Linked DNA regions of Xenopus tropicalis. The protein of the gene in region 1 purifies or fractionates together with the protein of each later gene. This does not show direct contact. Links are inferred from orthologs where the notes say so. Each region holds a gene or a part of one and is shown in the gene's direction. Other genes may lie near its edges.

The links. The genes of interacting proteins can lie anywhere in the genome.
Region 2: the proteins of rab6b (region 1) and slc12a4 purify together in Homo sapiens (co-immunoprecipitation; 3 studies listed by BioGRID and IntAct, with this or other methods). This does not show direct contact. The link is inferred for Xenopus tropicalis from reciprocal best matches to the Homo sapiens genes RAB6B and SLC12A4.

Annotation. Positions count from the first base shown.
Region 1 is NC_030681.2:130,025,458-130,031,527, reverse strand, and holds the start of rab6b (ras-related protein Rab-6B), read left to right. Parts: upstream 1-2,162; 5' UTR 2,163-2,445; coding exon 2,446-2,515; intron 2,516-6,070. UniProt on the Homo sapiens protein: The small GTPases Rab are key regulators of intracellular membrane trafficking, from the formation of transport vesicles to their fusion with membranes. Rabs cycle between active GTP-bound and inactive GDP-bound states.
Region 2 is NC_030680.2:43,045,251-43,051,320, forward strand, and holds the start of slc12a4 (solute carrier family 12 member 4), read left to right. Parts: upstream 1-1,781; 5' UTR 1,782-1,912; coding exon 1,913-2,048; intron 2,049-6,070. UniProt on the Homo sapiens protein: Mediates electroneutral potassium-chloride cotransport when activated by cell swelling. May contribute to cell volume homeostasis in single cells. May be involved in the regulation of basolateral Cl(-) exit in NaCl absorbing epithelia.

The DNA of each region.
Region 1 (6,070 bases):
CATTTCATCAACCAGATATGGCCTAGCACTTGGGTGCCCAAATCGGAAAGACCAAATGTTAGCTGAACTCACCTAATTCGTATATCTAATCATGTATGGCCAGCTTTACAAGTGGAACACGGAATGCATATGATGTTCTCATGTACTTGTTAGTCAGGCAAGCCACTGAGGATGCTGGGAATTGTGTATGATGCCACAATTTAGAAACTGCAGGTGAGATGCAGATTTACCATCCTCAACAGTTATAATTCTGGTAAAATTCACTGAAGGGCAGAGCACACAGTGCCTGCTGAGGGAACCCCTATGTTCCCCTTGGCCCCCTGACACCTGCCTGCTGCAGCTAGCTTACATTAAAGGTAAGAGAGGGTCTGGGGAGCAGAGACTACTATATAGCAGCCCCCGAGGTCCAGGGCAACCATCCCCTTGGGGTCTGCTGTATGGTAGTAACACCACTGATTACTATAAATTAATCTACTGTGGACCCAGGGGGTATATGGGCAGTATAATAGGCAGTTTCAAAATATGCTCATCAAAAATGTCTCAACCCTCCCCACCTCCCAAGTTTATGGGGAGATCTAAAATGATTTTGCACTACTTGCATCATCATTAAATGCTGTGTGGGGTCTCACAAAGGAACTGGATTTGGCTTACTCCTGACACCTTCTAAATGCCATTAATGTTATTGACTTCCCAACCCCCACCAATGCTTCTTCTCTGCCAATTATTTTGACATGTGCTGTCACTTTATTAAATGTGCCCCTTTATCTGAGCAGCACTAGTTTCTTGCCCCCCCAGCTGTAGTACGAGCCTCTGTAACCCCCCAGCTGTAGTACAAGCCTCTGTAACCCCCCAGCTGTAGTACAAGCCTCTGTAACCCCCCAGCTGTAGTACAAGCCTCTGCAACCCCCAGCTGTAGTACAAGCCTCTGTAACCCCCCAGCTGTAGTACAAGCCTCTGCAACCCCCCAGCTGTAGTACAAGCCTCTGTAACCCCCCAGCTGTAGTACAAGCCTCTGTAACCCCCCAGCTGTAGTACAAGCCTCTGTAACCCCCCAGCTGTAGTACAAGCCTCTGCAACCCCCCAGCTGTAGTACAAGCCTCTGTAACCCCCCAGCTGTAGTACAAGCCTCTGTAACCCCCCAGCTGTAGTACAAGCCTCTGCAACCCCCCAGCTGTAGTACAAGCCTCTGCAACCCCCCAGCTGTAGTACAAGCCTCTGTAACCCCCCAGCTGTAGTACAAGCCTCTGCAACCCCCCAGCTGTAGTACAAGCCTCTGCAACCCCCCAGCTGTAGTACAAGCCTCTGTAACCCCCCAGCTGTAGTACAAGCCTCTGTAACCCCCCAGCTGTAGTACGAGCCTCTGTAACCCCCCAGCTGTAGTACGAGCCTCTGCAACCCCCAGCTGTAGTACAAGCCTCTGCAACCCCCCAGCTGTAGTACAAGCCTCTGCAACCCCCCAGCTGTAGTACAAGCCTCTGCAACCCCCCAGCTGTAGTACAAGCCTCTGCAACCCCCCAGCTGTAGTACAAGCCTCTGTAACCCCCCAGCTGTAGTGCAAGCCTCATGAGGCCCCCCCTGCTACAGTACATGCCTCAGCAGCACCCCCAGCTGTAGTACAAGTCTCTGCAGCCCCCCAGCTGTAGTACTAGCCTCTGTAACCCCCCAGCTGTAGTACAAGCCTCTGCAACCACCCAGCTGTAGTACAAGCCTCTGCAACCCCCCAGCTGTAGTGCAAGCCTCATGAGGCCCCCCCCTGCTACAGTACATGCCTCAGCAGCACCCCCAGCTGTAGTACAAGTCTCTGCAGCCCCCGTAACTGTAGCACAAGCCTCGGAATCCCACCAACAGGTTGAAGAGCCCTGCTCCATCATTCCTACCCCTGCTGCTACACATTGCACAGACCCAGTGCATACCTATAGGAGATACCTATAGAATATCCATGCTGCGGGGCGGGTAGGCATAAGCTCATGTTTGCATTATAGGCTATCTGATGTGATTGCCAATTAGCCCATGCAGCCAGTTTAGTGGAATGACCTGACAGGCCTAATGGCAGCCCTATAGAGGGTGCAGGTGTCAGTGTATAGAGTAGCCGGTGCACTGACATCAGCCCAGCTAGGGGAGGGGGGCCGCGGCCAGGGAGTACGCAGGCGTGATGGGTTTGGGCGGGGAGGGGAGAGATGCTGAGCAGCACAGCCCGAAGCATCCGTATTCCCCTACAGTAGCGCCGCTCTCCCTCTTTTACTGCTGCTGCTGCCACTGAGCCATTAACCTATTCCTTCCCCGCCGCACCCTGTTACCTCTCCCTGTGCCCCAGCCGCAGCCACAAGCCCAGCCCAGACTGCTGCAGAATCTGCCCCTGCTGCCCCTGGTCCTGTCTCCGACTCCTTCCCCTGGTCCTGTCTCCGGCTCTTCCCCTGGTCCTGTCTCGGCTCTTCCCCGAGCATCATGTCTGCAGGGGGAGATTTTGGAAACCCTCTGAGAAAATTCAAGCTGGTTTTTCTTGGAGAGCAAAGTGGTGAGTGATGGCTTCAGGGTGGGGTGGGCTGGCTATGGCTCTACCTTGCCCCCTAATTGCACTTTGGGGATCGCTAACTCCTTAGTATGAGGAAGCATGAAATATAGAATATATATGTGTATGGATATTATACATGTGCTTAGGGGTGCAGTCTCCATATATTTGCAGAGCTTCCTCCCTTATTTTTTCTGGACAATATTAATGAGCTGAGATTGAGATGGGGGGGGGGGGGGGGGCACTGGGGGTTACTATAACCCCTTCCATACTGGGCTGGGTCACTGCTGACATTTCTGTACTTATGGATTTGATTAGTCTTTATTATGACAATAACTATTGTGCATCTGCATATTTCTACAGACTGATTATCATTCCACTGAATATGCCTTGTTGCCTGAATCACCCTATGGGCCCAAGATAGATAGAAATATAGATAGATATATAGATAGATAGATACATAGATAGATGATAGATAAAGCTAATTTCAGCATTGCCCAGTGTTTGGGACAAATAGCTGCTGTGTTTATTTGCCTTTCATATATAAGTGACAGCAGTCAGCTGGCTTCTCCTTGCTAAATCTATTTTACAGTATAGAGGCCCTTCTCACAGAATCTTCTGGTAGAAAGGAGACAGCCCCAGGGCCATAGTCCTATTACGTTGCAGAAGCAGAAAATGCAGGTATAATGTGTATTTATTCAGTGAAAGCATCCTATAGTGTATTATGGGGATCTTTGATGTGGACACACCCTTAATGACTCTTGGGATCTGTGCTGGAGACGTACTCAGACTGCTTACCTCTTATCAGCAGAATGGCGATGGCCGTGTTAGCAAAAGGTGGGATATGTGTGCTTATTCCTATGCCTGACCTTGTTCTTATAGATGGGAACATAAAAACAGCATAGCAATAATATGACAATGTAGCAGCTTGAATATAAGCAAGCAATTCAGTTATTAGATTAGCAATAGACAGCTCCTCCGGGGGAAAGTGTTGGTGTATAATTCAATCTATAATAAATACGTCAACTGGGTGAATAGCTACGGGCACATTATGTTTATTAAGGTTTTTTTTTTATAATTGCCATTGCCATTATTTTTCAGCTGGCATTTTATTTATGCAATTTTAGAGAATGACATGCAAGCAGACATGCAATCAGGTAGGTTGCGGTTGTGCGTTCCACATCACCGCTTTTTGCCAGAGGTTACAGCTAATATTTTAAGACCCTTTGACCCCAGGAAGAAAATAATTTATGGCCAGACTTGTTCATTAATAGCTGTGGAGGAATGAGAGGTCCAGCGACATGGTTTTTAAATGCAAATCTAGTAGCATGAGTGTCGGTGATAGACAGTTCCATCATGGGGACACAGTAGGCCGGATACAGGCTGCCATCAGTTTAGTCAGATTTATTGGGTGCCTGAGGATTATGGGTCCATGTTATATTTACAGGTTATATAAATATGTATGTATAATCAGAGTGCCACCTCTAGTTTATGCTCCATTTGGAAAAGAGCAGCGTTTTTTTTCAGATTGGCTATATCTAAGCATCAAGGCTATAATAATGTGCATTTATAATAAATAATACCCATCTGATATTGAATTGCAACTCCCAGGATTCTCTGACCAACCGGAAAAAAGACAATTTTGTGAGGCACAACAGAATTTATATCGCTGACCAATGGTACCTGGTGCAAGTGCCCCCATGTACACCCCTCCGAAGACAGTATTTGTAACCAATAATTGTCTTGCAGTCCTGGGGCAAGTGCTGGGGTGTTACATTGAGGCCTGGACTGGGATTCAAAATAGGCCCTGGCAAATCAAGTACACAGAGGCCCAATCCCCCCCACACGCCCGTTAATTGTGACAGTCTGTGGCATCTTACAGCAGCACCTCAGATTGCCAGTTTGGCCTGGTTACATTAATATTTGCCCATACTTATGTATGACCGTCCATAGTGATGCATCTGGGTGCACAGAAGCAAATAGCTATACAAAAGACCAATTCATCACTTGCAGTTACCCCAGCAGCAGTATAAGCATCACATATTGCTTCATTAAGCGGAGTGCAGGTTCCCCTGCCTATAGCCTGTTCTGCTTATCTGCTTCTTCCATTGGACAGTTTATTAACCCCATACTAATGCCCCAAGCAAAATGTAACCACAACTCATCTTCAGCTCTCGCTTTCAAATTGCTTTTGATTTGTGATCCTTGGCTAATATATATATTTTTAATCTAAACTGACAAGTTGAGAAATAGTGTATTTGGTGAGCAAGCTAGTGCCTCTCCATCTGCATGATACATTTGTGATTTCCCTCACTTCATAACCTCACAGTAGGAGATCAGACTCGGGGTGCCATGGAGAAGGTCAGACACAGAATTGCTTGTCAATATGCTGAAATATTTATTTGCTCGTTGTTTAAAATGTACTGCACTGAAGGTGCTGCAATCAGGAAGTATTGCTACAAAAAGAATACGTGGATGGGCGCTATGTGCTCTACAGTGCTTTGCTGGCCCTAGGATTTTAAGGTGAGGAGAATGGATATTGTATAAATGCCATTTCATGTTGAGGTAAATTTTACCCTTACTTTCACAGCCATGTTACCTCTCTTTTTTCTCAGACCTATAGCAACTATATGTCAAGTACAAGGTCATTTCATTATCCCTTCCCAAGTCCTGGCACACTTTATGCATCCTATATATTCCCAGATTTGGTCAGACAGTTTGGTCAATTCAAACACCACAGGCCAATCATCTGAGCATGTATGGCATCAGTGAAAGCAGTTTATTGAGACTGCCCTGCGAACGCAGTCACAAATCACATCTTCCAGTGTCCCTTCTTGGTGTTTGTTGGGGCATCAGCAGTTTAGCATAAGAGGAGCGCAGTCCCGGTGTAATGAATGGAAAATTGCTATTGTTTCATCTATGTGGATAGCCAAATTGCATAATATCGGGCCATGTGGATAGATGTAAAATCAGCCTGTGGGCCAGTTGGTTGAATAGATGCAGATCAACTCTGTCTGGACTTAAATTCAAAATAGGCTCTAGCCTCAACCCCCCATGGGCCAAATAAAAATTGACTTTCTAGGATATTTTACAGCAGTCTGGGCATGAAATCAACCTTTAAACAGATCAAGTCTACCAAACATCCACTTTCCCAACAGGCATTGTGCCACATATAGGCAGGTAAGGTTTTAATACATCCAATAGGAGTGTTGTCTACCAAGTAAAATATTAGACCCCCAAACAGTGCATGTTGTATTGGATCCTCTTGTGGCAATGATTGATCCAAAAATGCTGCTGCCTCTATCTGAGGAATTAGAGATTTGGAAGTCAGTGCTTAAAGGAGGCCGTACATGTTCCATTAAAAATCTTGACAATTGTTTTGCCAATAACGGTCACCTCGCCAACCCACCATACACGCATATTGTACGAATCCTCATTTTGTAGGATAATAAAACTGCATGTATGGGCACCTTTACTGGGTGTTGAGAGTCAAACAGAGGAGAGCCTTTGTGCAATCAAGTTTTCTCTAAACTCCCCAGGGACGAAAGCAGAAAATATAAA
Region 2 (6,070 bases), on another chromosome or scaffold:
GCAAAATAAGCCTATACAGTTTATTCAATATTTGAATGATTTTTAGCAGATTTAAGGTATGGAGATGCAAATTACCATGGGCGTCCGCAGAAAATTTTCCAAGGGGGGTCAAGTAAGCTAGCATCATCCTGCAACAGACAAATATATATATATATATATTTTATTTATTTATTTTTTTTTTGCAGGATGATACTAGCTTACGTGTGTCTGTATGTAAAAATATACAATTGTAATTAAATATATTTTAATTAATGAATACATTTACAACTGTTAGTGCCTTTTACAACTACTCTGCTCTACTCAGCTACCTACTATTCACATAATTCAGAACTCAGAAACACACATTAGATGGATCAAAATTATCATGCCACATAAAAAAAACCCCAATTGCCCCCATGTACCAGTGCCAACAGCCATCATATTGCCCCCATGTATTTGTGCCAGCACCCAACATATTGCCCCCATCTGTACTGTGCCAGCAGCCAAGCCCCCCTCATATTGCCCCCCATCTGTACTGTGCCAGCAGCCACGCCACCCCTCATATTGCGCCCCCAGGCCCCAGCATCTGTACTGTGCCAGCAGCCAAGCCCCCCTCATATTGCCCAACCATCTGTACTGTGCCAGCAGCCAAGCCCCCCTCATATTGCCCCCCATCTGAACTGTGCCAGCAGCCACGCCACCGCTCATATTGCGCCCCCAGGCCCCAGCATCTGTACTGTGCCAGCAGCCAAGCCCCCCTCATATTGCCCCCCCATCTGTACTGTGCCAGCAGCCAAGCCCCCCTCATATTGCCCCCCCATCTGTACTGTGCCAGCAGCCAAGCCCCCCTCATATTGCGTCCCCAGCAAGGTCCCAGCATCTGTACCTGTGTCAGCAGCCAAGCCCCCCATCTGTACTGTGTCAGCAGCCAAGCCCCCCTCATATTGCGCCCCCAGCAACTGTACCTGTGTCAGCAGCAGCAGTGCCTCGAAATCCCAGTCCCAGGTGCCAGTCAGCCAAGGCCAGCCCAGCAATCCTGCTCACTCAGCCAGCCCACAGCACAACCGACCGCCGCCGCACCCAAGCGCTTTCTGCGCCTTCTGGCGCCTTGTGTTTCAAAGACACACATGCGTAGGGGGGGGCGTGCCCAATCCGCATGCGTGTCATATGGGCGCACGGAGGTAAGCGCCGCTCCAGTATAGGGAAGGGTGGGAAGGTGGTGCCTGCGCTCAGTTCCTGGGACCTTTAGAGGGGGGTTTGGGCGGCGGTTTTATAATGGCCAAGGTGGGGATATAAATAATGTTACAACTAAAAAAAAAAAAAAATTCATCTCCCCTTTAATATGCGCCCCCAAGTTATTGCGCCCGTTTTTATTGCTACTTTTCCAGGGGGGGCAAGTGCCCCCTCTTGCCCCCTTCTGTGGACGCCCATGCAAATTACGGAAAGGTCCCTTATCCGGAAAACCCCAGGTCCCGAGCATTCTGGATGACAGGTTGCATACCTGTGTGTGTGTGTGTGTGTGTGTATATATATATATATATATATATACATCAAGAATTCCTGCAGCTTTGACATACTTTATTCATGCAAACTTCTCATCGGCAGGGTTTTCTATAATATCAAGGTAACCCTTTGCTTTCACTCTACCTGTTTTTTTTTTTAACTTCATACATTTTGCTTACTTTACTTTGACCAGTTTATTATTAAACCTCCCAAACACCGGTTATCATCATGTGCACTCGTTCTAGCATTCCCTTTCCCCCTATATGCCTTTGCCAGTCCGACCCTACAGCAGCGAATCAAGGCGGGGGTTGCGGAATATGCTAATTTCCCCGGAGGAAGTGAGTCTATGGTTTTGGAATTCACTGAAAGTGGAGTAGATATTTAGGTATCTTTGCTTGGTTGGCAAAAGATGTGATAGTCCCCAAACAAAATGCCTCACTTCACAGTTGTTCCAGTTGAAGAGCAAGCTAGATTGGGATGTGATTACTTGGAAGGCCTTAACGGAGTGGATTATAGGGACACAGGGCACAGTTCTCGGGATCCCTACGACAGCGTTAGTTCCGACGGTAAGTTCTACAGCAGGGTCGGAAAGTTTAGGGCCTCCGCGGTTGTAATTGTTTTCTCACAGATCCAATGATAAAAAGAGAACCTTAGAGAAGTACGTGATAGATTCGGTATTGTATTTATATCAGGGAACGAATATTGTTGGAGAGTTAACCTTGCTATAACATCGGTTATACAGCGGTATGTTTCGCTTTTATTACCCTATTTAAAAAAAATAGATTTTGGAAAAAATCGGTAATAAAATGCAGTCGCTAAAAACTCATGCACGACTTCGGCTTCTTCCAGTCGGAAGGCTAGTTTGGAACACCTAAATATTTATAATCAGTTGCCAGGAACGCTGCTGAGAAATGTGTGTGTCAATGCGAAAAAAGGCTATATCTTCTTGTCTTTTACCCGTAAGTTGTATGTGTAGATGGGAGCCAATGAATTCCTTGTACAGGCAGGGCTGGATTGAAGTTCTGTTCTGCAGTAGGAGCTGGCTCACTATTCACTGCCTCTTCCCTTATTGCCAGTCAGGGAAGAGAGGAGATGAACCCCGCCTCGGCTTCACTGCCAAAGTAAGCCACAAGTGTCTGGCAGCAGCTAGGGTTACTGTTTTTTCTGTACTGGCACCCAAGGGCCACACTCAGGGGTGTAATTATAGAGGGAGGCCCAGAAGGTATAGGGGTCCCTATGAGGCCTTTGTTAATGAGGAATTTTAATAAATATTGGTTAAACAGACCAACTTCTGGACATTTTGGGGGCCCCAAAATGACTTTGCTGTGGGGCCCAGTAAAATGTAGTTATGCCACTGGCCACACCCATAAAGGTGCTTTAGGGATTGTACTCACTGGCGTGTTGCCCTGTGTTTCCATGTTGTGTTCCAACTGCGTTCGGCATTTACATTAACCCGTGTTAGTACAGGCAGTGAAACACAGGTGTGCTCCACCACAGGAAAATGCAGGGCAAAATGGGTGCAAATATAGACAATATACCCTTCACTATAGGGTTCACTTAGATTGCTGTACCATGGACTGTTTGTGGTGTAAAGTAATTGCCACTACTGGATCTTTCCCCAGTTAGGATATTGTTTGGACCACGACAAAGATTGGATCAAAACAGCAAGGTAGTCCGACTAATTCTTTAAATCACACCAGTCCCTAAAAAAGTATGTTGACTCCTAACCTTATATTTTTGAAAAGTTACAAATTCTGACAAATCCATCTCACAAATAAGTAAAATTTTCTTTCAACTCCAAACCACCTAGCTACAAAGCATCCCTAAATTTAGCAGTTTTGATAAAAAAAATTCTGAAAATAACCTCAAAGCTTCCAATTTATAGCATCTTATCTCTCACATGTCATTAGGTAACAACATAAAACACCCTAAGGGCTCTGGCACACGGGGAGATTAGTCGCCCGCTAAGGGTCTACTGAGCAATTTGATGCTCAGTGTGCATAGGTTTACCAAAGTATGTTGTGTGTATGGACTCTATAATGAAAACAGTATGTTATGTGTCATAAGACCCCCCCCCTAACAGATGAAGACCCTCGAAAACCATATATTTTTGGAAAGCACACATTCTGACATCTAAAATTGTTAAATATCTTTCTATTTCAAACCCCCAAAGCGTTGTTAAATACAAGTAACAAATTATAATGCAAAACTAAAAATACAATAAAGTAAGTAAAAAAAAAAAAAAAAAAATTGCATAAACCAATAAAATAAAAGAATTACTCCAACAGTGTGAATAGTTATCAAAATGCCTAATCCACTACTCATGCTTCTAAGAAAAAACTGTTTGTACGGCAAGTTTAACATATGCAAATATGTAATACATATGCAAATATGTAATCCGGAAACCTGTTATCCAGAAAGTTCCGAATTATGGGAAGGTCATCTCCCATAGACTCCTTTATAAGCAAATAATTCAGATTTTTAAGAACGATTTGCTTTTTCTCTATAATAATAAATCAGTACCTTGTACTTGATCCTAAATAAGATAGAATTAATCCTTATTGGAGGCAAAACAATCCCATTGTGTTTTTTTAATGTTTAAATGATTTTTAGTAGACTAAAGGCATGGAGATCCAAATTACGGAAAGACCCCTTATCCAGATAACCCCAGGTCCCGAGCATTCTGGATAACGGGTCCCACACCTGTAGTAAAAAAAAAAAAAAGAAAACAGAGAAAACTGCATGCTTGTTTTTGGTACAAATTGCTCTCCTAATTTGCTGTCTCTATTTTTTTTTCTCTTTCTCTCTCATCATTTTTTTTTTTATTAGTCTCCAACTTTTAAAACTTTTTTTTTTTTGTACAAATTTCCCTTTTTGTCATCTCTCACAATGTTTTCATTTTCCATTTTGGCTTCCATGCCACTTTCCTGCAGTTTCCATCTGCACCACTCTGACCAGCCCTATACATTTGATCAATTTATTACCTGCCCAGCCTGCCCCAAACCTGCATGAAATAAAATACATTTTAAAGCATCTACTTTGGTTTATCACGCAGTTGATGTGTGTGCATTGTGAGAAAACAACAATCCAAATTAGCTGTTATATGGCTTTTAAAAAAAGAGACATTTGTACAAAAAAGTTGTAACAGTAACAGGATATAATCCAAATTGTGTCTAGGTATGTATAGACCCTTTAATCATGTAATTGTTTTTTTTGTATCAAACATAAAACACTATCAATGTGAGTAGGACCACTGAAGGAGAAATCATTACCTAAAAAAAAATCCAAAAAACTAAAATACAAAATATAGTCAGGATAGTCATAGATACAAAGGCTCAAGTGGGTGCTCAAAAACAAATGATTCTTACAGATATGTGAACTGGAGGTGCGCATCAGAAGCAGTATACAGTGCCACGGAGGGCAACACTTCCGTTAGCTATATTCACAGTTGATAAAGATACTATGAATGTGGCATGATCCCGTGTGCGTATGTGATGATAGTCACTGCACAATAGTAGCCACTAAGGTGACATGTTAATACTCATATTAAGTGCTGGGGTCATAAAAAAAACAAACAAACAATTAGTTGCGCGTAAGCCACCATTAGCATTTAATCTCATGTAAATTAATTCTGGAGACTTGATATTCTTTCATCTATCAGACCTGTAGTAGCCCTATTCTAGATGATACTAAAAGGCTTTCAAAACTTTTTATTGGGTTTTTTTTTTTAACATAATTGATAGTTGGAGCACAATTACAGAATTTTATTCTGCCCCTCCTCCAATAATGATTGCTTAAGAACAACCTTAGCTTAAGGTGTTTAGAGCGTTAGCTAAATCCAGATTAATTCACTTTACTGCAGCCACGAGAACAGCCAGGCAGGAACTTCATTCAAGAAAGTTGAACAGCTAACCAACACAGATAATGTTACATGTTTTCCCACAAAAAATTGTAGAGGTGTAGTATGCAGGATCCTAATATCACCGAGGTGCATTTGAAATGTGGTAGGTTTATTACACATCTGCTTTGCATTAATTCATGTAGGATACATCTAATATGTAAATTTTTTTTTTTTTTGGGAGGGGTTGATACTGTGTCGAGTGTTTGCTACAAATGTGTGTATATATATATATATATATAGCACACTACAAATGCCGGCATTCATGTTTAAGAAGAATATCAGAGCCTGGGTACAGTCCAGATGATGAAGACACTAATGTTTCGGCTAACACAATAGCTTTATAGTTTTTGACAAAGGATATTGTGTTAGTCGAAAAGTTAGTGTGCTGCACAATAAAAATTTTACAATTTTGCTGCATTATTAGCCCTGTTAGCTCATTGCGTGTTGTTTGCAGGAGCCAGTATTAATGAAGAATGTAATGTGCGTTTGTGCTTTCTGCTAATGTATGCCTTTGGCTTGTGGGATGAATCCCACAGAGATACTCCTCGCAGGTAGATAATGGGCATTTTGTGTTTGTTTTAGCATTTTTAAGGTCAGAAACTGTTTCTGTATTAAATTATTAAAAACTAATTATGGACTATTAACTCCAGATCTCCTATTTAATGAGGCAAGCTTCTTGCATTAGTG